Drosophila melanogaster: one gene and its partners. Changing the gene in region 2 together with the main gene of any one other region gives a genetic interaction. Each region holds a gene or a part of one and is shown on either strand. Other genes may lie near its edges.

What was found. Genes that interact genetically often act in the same process or in processes that back each other up.
Region 1: of mam (region 2) and klu, changing one enhances a phenotype caused by changing the other (phenotypic enhancement), as found in Drosophila melanogaster (one study listed by BioGRID).
Region 3: of mam (region 2) and fz2, changing one enhances a phenotype caused by changing the other (phenotypic enhancement), as found in Drosophila melanogaster (one study listed by BioGRID).

Annotation. Positions count from the first base shown.
Region 1 is NT_037436.4:11,006,189-11,011,330, forward strand, and holds the start of klu (klumpfuss), read right to left. Parts: upstream 3,001-5,142; 5' UTR 2,162-3,000; intron 1-2,161.
Region 2 is NT_033778.4:13,989,506-13,994,270, reverse strand, and holds the start of mam (mastermind), read right to left. Parts: upstream 3,069-4,765; 5' UTR 2,779-3,068; intron 2,294-2,778; 5' UTR 2,167-2,293; intron 1-2,166. Other genes in the region: RN-tre (uncharacterized protein), read left to right, coding at 4,435-4,586, 4,647-4,765.
Region 3 is NT_037436.4:19,232,374-19,237,342, forward strand, and holds the start of fz2 (frizzled 2), read right to left. Parts: upstream 3,001-4,969; 5' UTR 2,641-3,000; exon of another isoform or gene 2,432-2,640; intron 200-2,431; 5' UTR 1-199. Other genes in the region: CG33647 (uncharacterized protein), read left to right, coding at 3,987-4,061, 4,121-4,438, 4,505-4,684. UniProt on the Drosophila melanogaster protein: Receptor for Wnt proteins.

The DNA of each region.
Region 1 (5,142 bases), on a different chromosome or scaffold from region 2:
GACAGACATGACAGTCTTTGTTTTATTGTTTAACGCATTTCAATTAACAACTCCAATGATCTGTCTGATTGTTAGATGGCCGATGGTGTGTCTCTTTTAACGCACACGTGATGATTGAATTTTAATTTTCAGCCCAGCAGCTTGGCCAAAAGCTGTGACCCCTTTGAGCTGGGGGTCCACCTCCACAACCTTTTGTGGCATTTTTTCTGAATCGGGCACGACTAATCCAAATCAAATGGCTTCTCCAAATCAATTCGTTTTCAATCGTTTAAAGTTAATTAACGCGCCAGAATTTTATTTCACTTTACACATTCCTCTTTCACTGCTCCCCAAAATCGTCTCCTTTGTTCTGTAACACGCTTTTGTTTTGCTGTAAATTTATTTTATGTTTTTTCCTTTTAAGCTTTTTGTTTTTTTTCCCTTTATTGTGTGCATTTTCACTGTTTTTTATTTTATTTTGTATTTTTTCTGAGTTTTTTTGTGTTTTTTTTTTGTATTTCGCTCAACGTCTCAATTTCAATGCGCGCTCTTTTGTTGTTTGTATTAAAATTGTTAATTTAAGGCTGTGTCAGAAATAAATTAACCACTGAACCAGGGACCTTAACTCGACCAAACACAGTATATATGGCGTTATTTTCTTTTTTTTTTTTTATTCCGCCCTGTTTCTAGGGAAGGGAGCCGCCACCAGGAGCACCTAGGTGCTTTTGTGTGGAAAATGCAAATTGCCATTGACATCGGGGTCTGAGAAATGGCGTCGTGCGGGTGAGACTCCAACCAGCGAACCACCTGAGACACCATCGCCACCATTGCCCCCCAACTGCACCACCGATGGAAGCCACCGAGTGGCTCCGTCTGTTTTATATGCCAAATGCAGTGGGACAGCGGCAGACGTCGCCGTTCGTCATATAAGGTGCGGTGCGTATAAGTCAGCCGCGTTGGAGGAGCAGAGAAAAAATCACTCGACATATTGAGAAATGTGCAATAGCCTAATGCCCATTTAAGGCAGCACTTTTCATGGCAAGTTGCATTTATCGCCGATCGGATCGGATCGGATCGGAATCGAAATCGGTTTAGAGCGATCGATCAAGCGTTGTGGCTATTGGCGTTTGGCGTTTGCCAGACAGGTCAAAAGCAAAGCAAACGGATTTTGGTCCAGCACTTGATGCAGTAATCTATGCTAATGGGCAAGTGTAAAACATCGCGGAGCTATTATCGCAGAACTGTTGTTTAAGGAACCAACCACATCGAGCAGATGCCTGTAAATGGTATAAATTACCAATGAATGACATACGATTTAATTGCCTCGACTAAGTAGCAACCGCTAGCAACCAGCAACTTGCAACAAGCAACTAGCAACTAGCAACTTGCAACTTCTGTTGCATACAGATCAGTTGATGTTGTTGCTGCCCGTGTCTCGAGTTGCTGGAATTAATTAATATTGCACTTTTGAAGCGCGTGCATACAAATTTGTCAGCCAGACGGGCAGTTCTTCGGCTCAGGTGTAGACAATTGGCATAGTTCACATAGAGAGAGAGAGAGAGAGAGATAGAGAGAGGGAGTGCAGCCCAGCTCTGCTTTTGGCCAAGATGGGCAATTAAAATTCCCCGAGACTGGCTAAAACTGGAAGTGGGAATCTGGAGCTGCAACTGGATGTGAGGAAACTGGGGCTAAGGGTCCTAGTACTATCTTTCTACCAGGCTCTCTATCTCACTCGCTTTTGTGTGCGTCAATTTGCCAGGCACACGATCTGCAGATCGGCGATGTCAAGTTGCTGCTGCGATTGACGTCAATATAGATAGAGTCAATATGGCATGGGAGTGAGATGAGATTGGGATGATGATGATGATGATGATGATGATGATGTGGATGATGCCACTGGAGGGGGCCCGTGCTGATATGGACTCATCATCAGTCCATCATTCATGGGTGCAATCGATTGCAGCACACACATACATATGTACATATGTATATAGCATATAGCCGCCGATCTGATATTACGCTGAGTGTTATGGTAAACCGATCCTATTCGTAACTGGAGCTCAGCTTTTGACACATTTCGACCAACCAAACAGCACAGCTGAGATGGCACTTTATAGTTTTTTTTCTTTCGGCTGTCCAAATGACTAAGCCGTCGGCAAATTGAGCGATCTCGCGAACTCACCTTTAATTTTTTTTTTTTTTTTTGTAGGAGGGGAATTATCCAAGCATTATCCAATTTGTAGCTTTTGCCTTCGGGGTGGCAAAACACATTTAACAAATATTTTTTAGGCTGCGTTGTGTAAACTCTAATTGCTAATATCAAAATATCACACTTCTTTTATTTTTATGTATTATTTGTGCTTATGCTGCGTTTGCGTGTTTGGCTTATTGTGTGTTTTGCGGCTTTAATTGATTTATATTACTTAATGGGCTGTTAAGACACACACTTTTCACTTGATTTTAAATGATTTGGCGAGTTTAGTTTACGGATTTCTAGGCGTTTAGATACTTTGCAGCTTGCCACTATTAGATTTCGAATTGCTGTTGTTGCACGCGCGATCGTTATTGTTGCAGTTGCAGTTGCAGTTGCAGTTTTGGGCTGCAGTTTCGTGCTGTCGTGTTTCGCGGTCTCGTCGCGTCAACGTGCGAATAACAAATAACGAAAACGTACGAAAAGATTTTCACTGCAAGAGGTTGGTTTTCCCGACGTGGCGTCGTCGTCGGCGTCGGCAGAGCTTCGGCAGCAGCGACGGCAACACCGAACCACCAAGACCTATCCAAACCAACCACTGAAACTCTCTTCGCGGAGAGAGAGAGAAAGAGAGTTTTTTGTGTGGCGGGTTGGAGGGGGAGTCTGTAAGCGCACTGCGAAGATTACGTTACGTTCGGATATATTTTCTATATATTTTTCTTTTTTTTTGGGTCCGAAAAAGACGCGTCTTGGTTATTCAGCACTGAAGAATTTGCGGCAGCGCGTGCGGAGCGTCGATGAACCTGAACCGACACTGCCCAGCAAGAAACTGACTTCTGAGTAGAGTCGCCACTCGTACAGCGACGATACCAGGCACCAATACCATCGCACCGAGAGACACCCACACCGAGGCAAACAGGCGGCGGTATCTGTGTGTTAGTGCCGACTGTTGGCCTCTCATTCGCCGGATAAAGTCGCGAGAGAGCGAGAAAGAGCAGCACGTGCAGTGGAGATTTCTCTAGTTCTTTTTTTTTTTTTTGTGTTCCGCTTTTCTCGGTGGGAGCTGCTCGAAGAGCTTCTCCTCCCACTCTCCGCCCGCCCGAGCAGTTGTTGTTTATGGCTGCGTGGGCTTCTAATTGCTCAAAACTCTATGCCAATGGGGGCACTCGGCTGCATTTGGCGCTTTTGGGTCGCCAGTTGCGAGTCGAGCTCCGAATAGGCACCTCCCACTTCCACCGACTGGCGTTATATAACATCGAATGCGAAGATAAGCTAACGAAATCCGAATCCAAGCGGATGTCTTTTCCACTGTCTTGCAGAAGGCGAAGGCAAATAGAAGCAGCGCTCGTTGAATCCTTTGGGAAGTTGGCCGGCTTTTAGGTCACTTTTCGCATCCTTCGAGCAATATATGTCACTTAATTGAGCCCTTTCTTCTTAATACAGCATTTCATTTTCATTTGAGTTCTAAACTAAACTAAACTTACATTGCTCAGAAGCCAAAAAATTTTGATTTATGCGTTTAGTACTTTATCGACTTTAAGGGCCTTCTAATCTTAGAAACAATTACAAAACAATTTCAAATATATAATTTATTAAAATGTTTTACAAATAGTAATAGCAGCGTTTTTAGTTACAGTTTAAAACTCAAACATTCTCTAAAGCAAAAATGTAAATTCAATACTTTTTGATTGAAATTTAATTAGTCTAGTTTTTAATAATTCTTGGCTTTGAACTTATTTTCTTTTAAAAATAATATAATATTCTTAATTGGAACTCTTTTTTGTTTAACTTCGCAAAAAAATTAAAGCGCTACAAAATGATCTAAAATATATATTTGTTTAATTTTAGACTTTCATTTGTACCCATGAAGTTATTTTTGTCTAACATGCATATAAGCCAACTTGCATTATAAGAAAATCGCAGTTGACTGATTTTGAGCCGCATTGAAGGCCCGGATAAAATCGTCGGATAAACTCTCTCACCTATACCACACACACGTTTCGCTCGCACACAGATACAGTTTCGGTCTCTCTCTCTGCGCTCGTGAGAATCGAAATGCCGGCAAAACAACTTCACAGATACGATATCTGAACTTGAAATGCCGATGCACGAGAGAGAGAGAGAGCGCGCTCTCTCTCTCTTTGCACACCGTGTGTGCGGTTGTGTGTGTGGCGCAGCTGCCGAGGTGTCAGTGTATCTGTGTGCGCCTCCATCCAGGTGTGTATGTGTGTGTTTACAAAACAAAACTGAATTGAGAAAAAACCAAAAAAAAGAAAAAACAAAGCAAAAGCATGCCAAGGCAGCAACAACACAATTTGTGAATGAACGAATAGTGGCGCACTCACACACACACGCACACGCAGATACTCAACCCACACCACTATCTCTAAGTGTGTGTGTGTGTGATTGTGGGCAGGGAAAATAAACGCGTTTACGCGATTCGTACAAAATTCGTGGGTCTTTCAAAAAAGAGAAGCACTGCAAAGAGCCAAAAGTGAACGTAGGTGTTTGGCTATAAGTTATATGCCACATGCTTATTGGTATTATACATATGCACGTATATTTCATATGCAGATGTATGTATGTATGTATGTATGAGTGATTAAAATGAGACGGCGACAAAAGAAACGAAACCAAAATGGTGTAGGCCAAGTGATCGGAGATCGGCGATCGGCGAGATACATATATCCATAGCGATAGCGAAGGTGTTTTTTTCATGGGGCATTGGAGGGGAGAAAGGGAAAATGGGAAGTCAGCTGCCAACACAATCCGCAGGTTGACATCGCTGATTTGTTGATTAAGTCGTTCGTCGAGCTGGCGACATTTTTTATACACCCGGTATTTTGGTGGCCAACAGGGCGTATTATTTTTCAAGCTGTTGTAAGCTGTTCATAGATGAAATATTATATGTTTGGATTAGACCCTATTAACAAATAGGTATAAAATTAAATTATTGTGCTAGAGTTACCTAT
Region 2 (4,765 bases):
TTGAGTGAGCAAAGAGTTAAGTTGAGCAGCAGCATTGACCCCAACTGACTCAACGACAAAATATGCCACAGAAAAGGACGGCATTAGAGCGTCGAACAGAGATGGCAGACGCACAGAAGGAGATGGAGTTGAAGACTGGAGCCTCGGGAGATCTCTCGTATCCGAATAAATGCAGAACATGGTGCGAAATATTTAATACAAAAATGTTGAAAAGGAGTTTGGCCTGACAAAATAAAGCACCACACTAAACCATGTACAGTGAAATGTTGATAACTTAAACTGGGATTACTGCATATGTTATTCTTTGCATAAGCTGACCTTAGAAAAACATTACCCTGTTTCTTAAATGGAGAAAGTAATGGAGGAGCTTTTAAAAATTTCAACATCAACATATATATACTACAGTTATTTTTTATTTAATCAAATCCACAAATTCACACCCGGAATGAAATTTTTTTTATTTCAAGAATTTTAAGATTGAAATGGTATGCATTTATTTTCTTCTTATTGTAGTTTTTTAACTTAAGTGAAATAAGGCTTATGTTATATGGATTCAAAAATGAATGAATACAGGAAATTCCATGGCGCGCAGTTCGCGATACGGAGGCAAACCTGTAGCAGCCAACTGCAGCAGACGAAGCGAGGTGAGGCCAAGTAAACCTGTTTACAGTTCAAACTTCGCATTCGATATATTCGATGTGAACTCTTTTTTGTTGTGCCATAGTAGGTATGTTCGTCTGGCAGGTTCTGGGGCTGCTTCTTCTTGGCCAACCGAGTTGTTTTAAGCCACCTACGAAGTCGAAGCTTAGGCCGGGTTATCTTCAGCTTAATTGGGTCATTCACACGCGCCACTTGCTCGTCGATAGAGATGGATATACGGCTCCAGAGGGAGATAAAGATACAGCTGGAGACACTGCTGAAAAACACACACAACTTTTTCAGCCTAGCAACAACTTCCGGTGTCTCAAAGACGAAACGAACAAGAAACTAAAGACGAGGCATACATTACATGTTAGACCACTCGAAGACGTACATATGCGAAGACGGGGGCAAAACAAACGGCGGCGAACAGAGGGAGATACATGTATGTAAAAAAAAAAAAAGGAAAGGCAAATAATACTGTTTATCAAGTGATGAAAAGCATTTAAAATGTCGAGTATGCCAGGTATTGTGTTTAAATGCATGCCCTTCGTCGCATTTCGGTTGGAATGCATCTGATATTGGTAAGGAGAATGTTCAAAAGACATAAGCTGAATGCTGTTAATAATTTTAAAAATATTTAAGCAATAAATGCATATATTGCATAATGGCATTAAAACAAAAGGCAATACAGAATTCTTTATTTGAATATTTATTTTGATTTTTGGAGTTACAAAAAACTAACGATAATAATATAAGATGGAATGTTTCGTATACAAAATACAAATAATAAGATCCAAAAGAAATTTATAAATCAATCTTAAAAAACTCTTTAATATTCGAAAGAATTAAAATTCTTCTTTCCCCAAAAATATATATTGAAATATTTCTCGAATTGGTTTTAAAAAAGAAAATTCTAGTATCTTATAGATTGAAGTAACGAAACAACGGTAGATCTCTCCCACACTCAATCTTTTCTACCTACAAGGATCAAACGAAATCAAAGGATCAACGTTGAAGAAGAAGCAGAGAGAGAGAAAGAAAGAATCAAAGACAGGGCAAAAACAAAGTCATCAGTCCAAAGACAAAGGCAAATAAATGGAGAGACAAAAGAGACGGCCATAAAAACTCAACCGACAACTTCTGGATGTGCGAAAGGGACGGCAAGGGTAGAGCGAGAGGTGTGTGCATCCATCATTTTCTAGGCGATGCAAGCAAAAGCAATAGCAACAACCACAACAAACTGCAGTTTGGGCTTAGGAAATTATTTGGCAATTCCAAAGCCTCGAAAAACTGGTCTTGATCCATTTTTAAAAGCCGAGCTTTGACTCAAGCTCCCCTCAAACATAAAAACATCAATCATGCGAAGTTCTACACGAAAAGCGCTTCAAGGTCTTATCAACATGAGAAGAGAAAAAAAGGCATATGAAAACCCGAAATAGAACTGGTTTTGAAATGCAAAAAGCCACCCACACGAAACTAAAACGCTATAAACTAATTAGGCGATAAGAGACTTAACTTACTTACCCAGAAGCTGTGCTGATAATCCAACTTGATTTTGATTTCCTTTGATTTGCTATTTGCTATTTTCCATTTGTTATTACTGTTGTTATTTCAACTTAGCATTTATCCAATGCTTTGAATTTTAATCCAACTGCAACAACAACAAGAACGGCACAATTTTATTAGCTGGCCAATGCAACAACAATCAAAAGAGCAGAAACTCTCCGCTCTCCTCTCTCGATGTCTTCGTGTATGTGCAAAAATCAAAACAAAACACGGCAAAAACACTTATAACTCAAAGAGAGCGAATGAGAGAATGAGAAAGAGAGTGATCCGCTTTGCTTTTGTTTTAGTTTTTAGTGACTGCAACATGTTGAATGTGTTTACTCTTGCCCTAACGGTAAATGCTAGAGCTGCAGTTTAAAAATCCTCTGCTCGTCTCGAATTGAAAATCAAAAATTTACACGCGGCAATTTTCTTTTGCATCACAAAATCCACAATCACTCACACGCACACACAAACACACATATATATATATATATATATATATATATATATATATAAACGCACACCTTTAAAAAGGACGCTGTTGAGGGTTGCATTTTATGTTAAACATAATATTAATTATTTGCTTACTTTTATCTCACAATGCACTCTTAGAAATTTCCACTGTTATGTTATTCATGTGTTTGCATAAAACTGGAGAAATTAAACACGGTATCTCAACAAAAATAAAAGAAAGCCGCCAACAAAATCGGTTATGTTTGACTTCTTTTCACTTTGATATACACCTTAATTCATTTGCTTGTTCAATTAGCATGCACTCCTTAGTTATTTGGTACAGTGTATTTTTTACGAGAGTTCTCGACAATTTTCGAGCGCTAAAACAAAGAAACCGCGCTCGATGATAAAAACCGCGTCCGACTGCCGCTGTTTTTTTGTTGTTTTGAGAGGCGCTAGTGGTGGAACGATGGCTGGGAAAACATCGATAACGCTATCGATCAAGCGATTACTTATCCTTCTGTTGCTGACGATGTTTTCCAGTTGAATGTATGGCAGCACTGCTTATTTAGTCACAAAAATTATATTTGAATTAAAAAGCCGATTTTGTTATCAAGAAATAAATTTTGAAGTGAAAATGTTTTCCACAAATGTTTTAATTCATTAAGTGCCACTTGTCGCAATTAAGTAACTGAATAGGTTTTAAATAATAAGTAAATAAATATCATTGTTAAATATTTATAAATGAGCATTCATTTGCAGCTTTAAATAGATAAACATTTTACATATTTGTACATTGACATCACAAACATTTCAACTAAAATTTAAACTCGTATAACATTACGCTAAAGTATCGCTTAAATATTGGCTCGCATCCCTGGTACTCTTGTTACGTTACGTTATTCGGCAATTACATCAGTCTGGCAACTCTGGCCCTCACACACACTCAGTCGCCCCCCAAATGTATCGGAAACATGCAGCCGAGATAAAATAGTGAAAAACTAGTTACCAAACATAACCGATCAGTGCGGATAATAAGAATTGGCAATTCAAAATTAAATGGTAAACGAACGTCGGCGCGATTAATTAAACTCAACCATAGGAACGCGGAGAGAGTGGCCAGTGAAAGCCAGAACACTCTCTTTCGTCGGAGCGTCTGTGTGTGTGTGTGTTACGTGTGTGCGTATGTGTCTGTGTTGACAAAATACAACAAATCGCAGCGAAAACAGGAAGTGTACGAACGATAAAGCATAAGATTGCACATTTCGCATTAAAATAGGCGACAAAAACCCGGGGGCGCATGCAGATCCACACATTTCTGGCCCACTCACACTCACACAACGCAGATCAGGGGGCGTTTTTCTAGATCAGTGACCAAGTCTTATATGGCTTTATGTTTTGATGCTGCACTAAATATGGGTGAAACATCACGTCATTTATGCCACGCTCCTTCTCCAAAAACAAAGATCATGTTGATTTCACTGCATTTGAATATATATATATATATATACAATAGTTAATGTTCGTGTGCGTCATTCGCTCATCAGCTATATAGTATACGAGTGTTGTTATTGTGGATCGCTTTCGCATGTTAATGCTTTTGTGTGTTATTTTTTCCATTCCATTTTTTTTTTATCAAAGTTTCGCGCTATCGCCCAGTCAGCTCAGAAGCAGCCGCTCCCCAACTGAGAGCACAGAGAAACCAGCTCTGGCCACTTGCTCCTCCGGATCCGGCTCCTGCTCCTGTCCCCGATCCCCTCCCCCACCCGCCAAATCCTGATCCTGCTCCAAATGACTGACGGCGAACAGCAGGAGGCGCTGGTCAAGCGGGCCGAGGACGAGCGCGAGGACATCTTCCGGCGCTACGAACTCGGGCTGGATCCCAGCAATGTGGTGGACTCCTGGGAGAATCCCACCTTCGAGATCTACCACAGGACAGACAAGTGAGTAATATTAATCATTCGCCAGAAAAAATCCCAATAATGCCATTGATGCTCCCACAGATATGGCTTCTTGCACGACTCGCGGCTGCCGTCGACGCGTGATGCCCAGGAGGTGCATCGCAACAAGATTGAAATGGAGCGGGACAAAAAGTGGATGAAGATGCTAAATCAGTGGCCGC
Region 3 (4,969 bases), on a different chromosome or scaffold from region 2:
TTTGTTTTTATTGGCGTTTAAAATTGCTATTTCACTTGGGTTTATTGTATTTCTATATTTATCGGTTTCGGATCGTATACGTTTGCATTAGCACGGCGCGGAACGGAATGGTTGCATTTTCGTATATTCTATATATAGGCGTTTGCTACATCAGATTGCTGATTATTTTGGCTGGAGAGATCCGCTTGATTTGACGAACCTGAAAAAGATATTGCCAATTAATTGTTGATCACGTGCAAGTGGCTAAAACAGCTATTAAATAGAAAACAAAGGACTTGCAGGGGGCAACCAAAACGCAGACGTGTAGTTTGCTGAAAAAAAAATTGAAAATAGAAAAACACAGACGACAGGTGTGAGTGAAAAGGTGTAACCCGGCCAACAACAACTAAATCAAATCGCAGGAAAATGCCTGCATTTTTCCTCTTTTCCCCTTCCGCCGCCCATCCATCGCTTGGCTGGATCTCAATGGGCTCTGGGGCAAATATTTTAAATGCGCAGATTTTTGGCATGTTTTAGTGGCAGTTCACGTTTTGAATTGTTGCCATGCCCCTCGGAAACGGTCCAACGCTCGTTTCACTGACAATTTAATACAAAAAATGCCAAACATTTTCACAAAATAAAAGGACCAGCACAAAAAGCCAACGTGGAAAAGTTTGGCAGTCGTATAGCGTGTGTTAACCCTTTAAAATACCCAAAAATATATGTGTTCGTACGTGTAAGCCGGGCTATGATAAAAAAGTTGTTTGGAGCGAAATTGTAGGTTCCTTTTTTATGAATGTGCTTTGCGAAGATATAAATGAGACACCAGTGGGTGTGTGGAATAGTTCAAAAGCCATTTGCATTAATGAAAAAGAAAAATATTTCAGTGAAATATTTAATACACTCAATCAGAAGGAAGTAGAGGGAAATTAAAATTAAGATTGGGTTTAATCATTACTTCAAAGAACTAAATAAATATTGCATAATTAGAAATAACAAGAAACAAAAATTAATTATTATTTAGGAAAATAATTAACCAAAATGACCAAATTTCCTATTTATTTAACCCAAACGCAAATATGAATAATATTCTTCGTTGGCCAGAGAATGTAAACATTTCTGCACTTATTGCTTCGACATTCCCTTAGCGTTTTGCATAATTTAACACACGGGTTAGGCTGTGACCCCTGCAAGAGCCACCCCCCGGATTTCCCACCCGCTGAGTCTGGAGCCCGGCCCCGCCCCCATTTCTTGCTAATACCATTCCGCCCCTTTCGACCAGAAGCGGTGCGTGTGCTTGCTGCTCCCATTGAAATGCCAGACTAACTCAATTAGAGTGCGCAGACAGAAGTTGAAGTTGAGTGTTACTTTGACTGCCGGCCAACATGCGAGTGCAAGAAAATATTTATAAATATTTCGAAACATCTGAAACTGCTCCTATTTAAAATGTAGGGAATTAAAGAATGCAATGATGTGGGGAAAAAACTTGAAGACGCGTCTCAATAAACAGACAGCCGGATAAAAGAGTAGGAAACTCGGCAAAAGTATCTAGATACTTTTTGCAGCTAGGTAGCTAGCTATGAGATACTCTCACAAAAACAGCAGCAAAAGCAACAGTGCTGTCTGGCTTGTGAACTCGACTCGTAAATGTACACAGAAAAAAATTGACCTGTCTTGGATCAATTCTTTATTGATTATTTACAACAATCTTATTGTTTTCAACATTATTCCACAAATGCAAAAAAAATCGTTCAAATTTAGACTTTAATTAAAAATAATATTGTCTTTGTTAATGAACTTGAATGAACTTTAATAAAGTGTAATAAGGTGTAATAAGGAAAAAGAAATAAATATTCGAACTTACATTTATAAAAAAAATGTGAAATTCCGAAAAACTTTAACAAAAATGGTCAAGAAATCAACAAGTTAAAAAGTGTATTTTTAGCGTTGTTGGAAATATAAGCTTATGTAAAGTTAAATATATTCTTTTATATTCTGGGCAAAAAAAGCAATATAAAGAGTATTTAGTCCTTTAAAGCTACGTCGAAATATCTACGTTTAACATTTGAATTTATAAAAAGTTTATGTTCTTAAACAAACAACAACTGAAACAAGATGTGTACACTCAAAATTTAAACTTATAAGTGGCTGAGTTTTCCTCCCTGTGTGCGAAAAACACAACAGAAAACAAAAATAAAATGCAAACAACGGAAAAGCGGAAAAAAAGAACTTGGCGTCGTCTGAGTTTAGCTCTCTGTGCTCTCTTTTCTTTTGCAGCTGTGTGAGTGTGTGGCTGTTGTTGTCTTTCCCATTTTCCCGTAGAAAATGTGAATGATTTTCCTTCACTTTCATCAACAGCTGCGCTCACACAAATGCAAGAAGTACTCATTTTCGAATTGCTTTTTGTTATTATTTTAGATACACAAATGAGTTAGCTTTTTCGTATCTTTACCGTTTGGCTGTGTTTTTGTTGTGCTGATTTTATATTTGTTGTGTTTTTGTATAAGTTTATTACTAATATATTTTTATTTGTTTGTATATTTTATTTGCAGATCTCTCGATTTCTCGGTTTTGTGTTCTTCGCCGGCTTGCTATTTTGCAAATGCCGCCGAAATTGCAATCAATTGCAGTTTTATATCTCCAGCTCACACAGATACTCACGCACACTCACACAAACACACACCAATGCGCGACGGCGACTGCGACGCCAACTGCGACTGCGGCGTCGACCGCGCTGCTCACGTCGTATGTCCGTTAATTAAACGCGCGATTTTTTGTTTGTTTCGGTTTTTACATATTATCTTTTCATGTGCTTCTCTCTTTTGTTTTTATTCCGCTTTGTTATTGTTATTAACTATTGTTATCAGCCCTCGGCGCTGCCAACGTCGACTGCGCTGCCTTTCGCGGCTGCTTTTTGGCTTTTTTTATTTCCCGTCTGCGGTGTAAGCGTCTGCGATTTTCACGTTTTTCCTTCTGCCGCGCTGTGTAGTTTTTCCGGTGATTTCCACTTGCCAACTGACTTTCTTCCGACTTTTCCAAACGGCCGGCCGTTGTTTTGCAAAATTCGCAGAGAGAGAGCGATAACGATTAAGAAATGCGGGGGAGGAAAAATAGAGAGATGGAATTACAAATGCGCCGGTCCAAAAAGCTCGCGAAACGATTTGGTAAACGGAACAGAGCTACGTGAAACGTAAGGCCTGCCCGGAATCACGTAACGTAATCACCAAACGAATCACCAAACGTTAATTTTTTGAAACAAGTTTCTGCAAAATAAATAAGTCATTATAAAATATATTAGAGCTATAAATTTATGCAATGTTATTAACGAAAATATTTTGTATGCTAGACTGGTCGAATGGACCAATAAAAAAGTAATTTCGCACCACTTATTCAAAATATGATGAAATCGTCCTGAATCTAACCAAGAAATTAGTCATAGAAATCAAAAATAAATTAAATATAAATGCGTAATAGTATGGATAGCCCATTTAAAGAAGAATTAATAGGTATCAAGATAATTACTTCAAGGGCTTTGATAGAAATTATATTCAGTAAAATCGCGTTCGCAGTAAAATAAAGAAAACGTATAAGTTCTAGCTAAATCATCACTCATCTTAAACCCGTTTTTCTTTTTTAAGAATACAAATTATTTCAATATGTTATTACTAGAAAACTATTATTAAGCTGATTCTAAATGCTTCATATTCGTGCAAATTTGTTTCAGATCTCCCACTCTAATCCGTATTAATTATTATAATATAATATTATAATATATTATAATATAATAATTTTATAGTATTATTTTATACTATTAGTACTTTGCGCATCTCCAACTTGAAAAGTCCAAATAATTTACCGATATTAATGTTCTATCAACAAAAATAAGCAATTACAAATTAGGTAATACACTAATTGAGCACATTAAAAACCCATTTATTTTAAAATATACACACCTACGTGCGTTTGAAATGCATTAGATTTTAGTCTTCAATTAGTTATCCACTAGTATGAACGTCAAAAAGCTTTTTATATTGGTTGACCTGATTCTGGGGACCCTAATCTTGAGCAGTGTTCGTGCAGAGGTCAGTAGTATAGAATCATATATGTAAGTCCTACTACATTAACCTATCTCAACGTATAGAAAGAAGTTTTTATGACGAAAATTGAGTGCCTCAATTATATGCCAGAATTGGTGAGAAACGTAAGCTGCTACTTAAATGAAACTTCCCACCCCACTGGTTCAATATACGCAGAGTTCATATTAACCCAAGATGTTGAGGACCTGAAGGGCATTTACATTTTGACATTTAAGAGAGGTTCATACGTGACGAATTTTACCTCTTCACATGTAGACTATTGTCAGATGCTATCAAGTGTGGAAAATCATTTTTTATTTAGAATGGTTACTACGCAGCTTCGCGAAACCGCCAATTTTCCTATACAATGTCCGTTGAAAATGGTAATTAACACTGGTAAGAAATTGTATAAAACTCTCTAATATCGTATTTTGGAAATTGTGTTTTAGAATAAACGGTATTACGCAAAGGGATTTACAGTTAACTCGAAATTTATACCCAGCTATATGCCAGAAACGAACTTCATTTCGGACGCCCATTTAAGCGTTAAGGATCGCAAAGTATTTCGGTTGCTTATTAAAGGTCGCTTTTCTAGAATACTTCGGCGAAATTATATTAAAACCGAATAGATCACTATATAAATCAAAATGTGTAATTGCAAAATAAATGGATTTTTTTTACTTACAATATTTTTGTTATACATATTTACAGAGAATTAAAGCTATAAATAAGCTACTAAAAATAATCGTTTAGTTGAAATCGTCCACTTTTGTAACTAAAAGCTTATTTAACCAATTGAAGCTAATCAAAGCTGTATTCAGCAAGCCGAAGCTTAAATGTCCTTGCATTAATTATCAGTGATAGTTTATGATCAATAACAACAACACTATGATTTCTATCCCGATATCCCGATC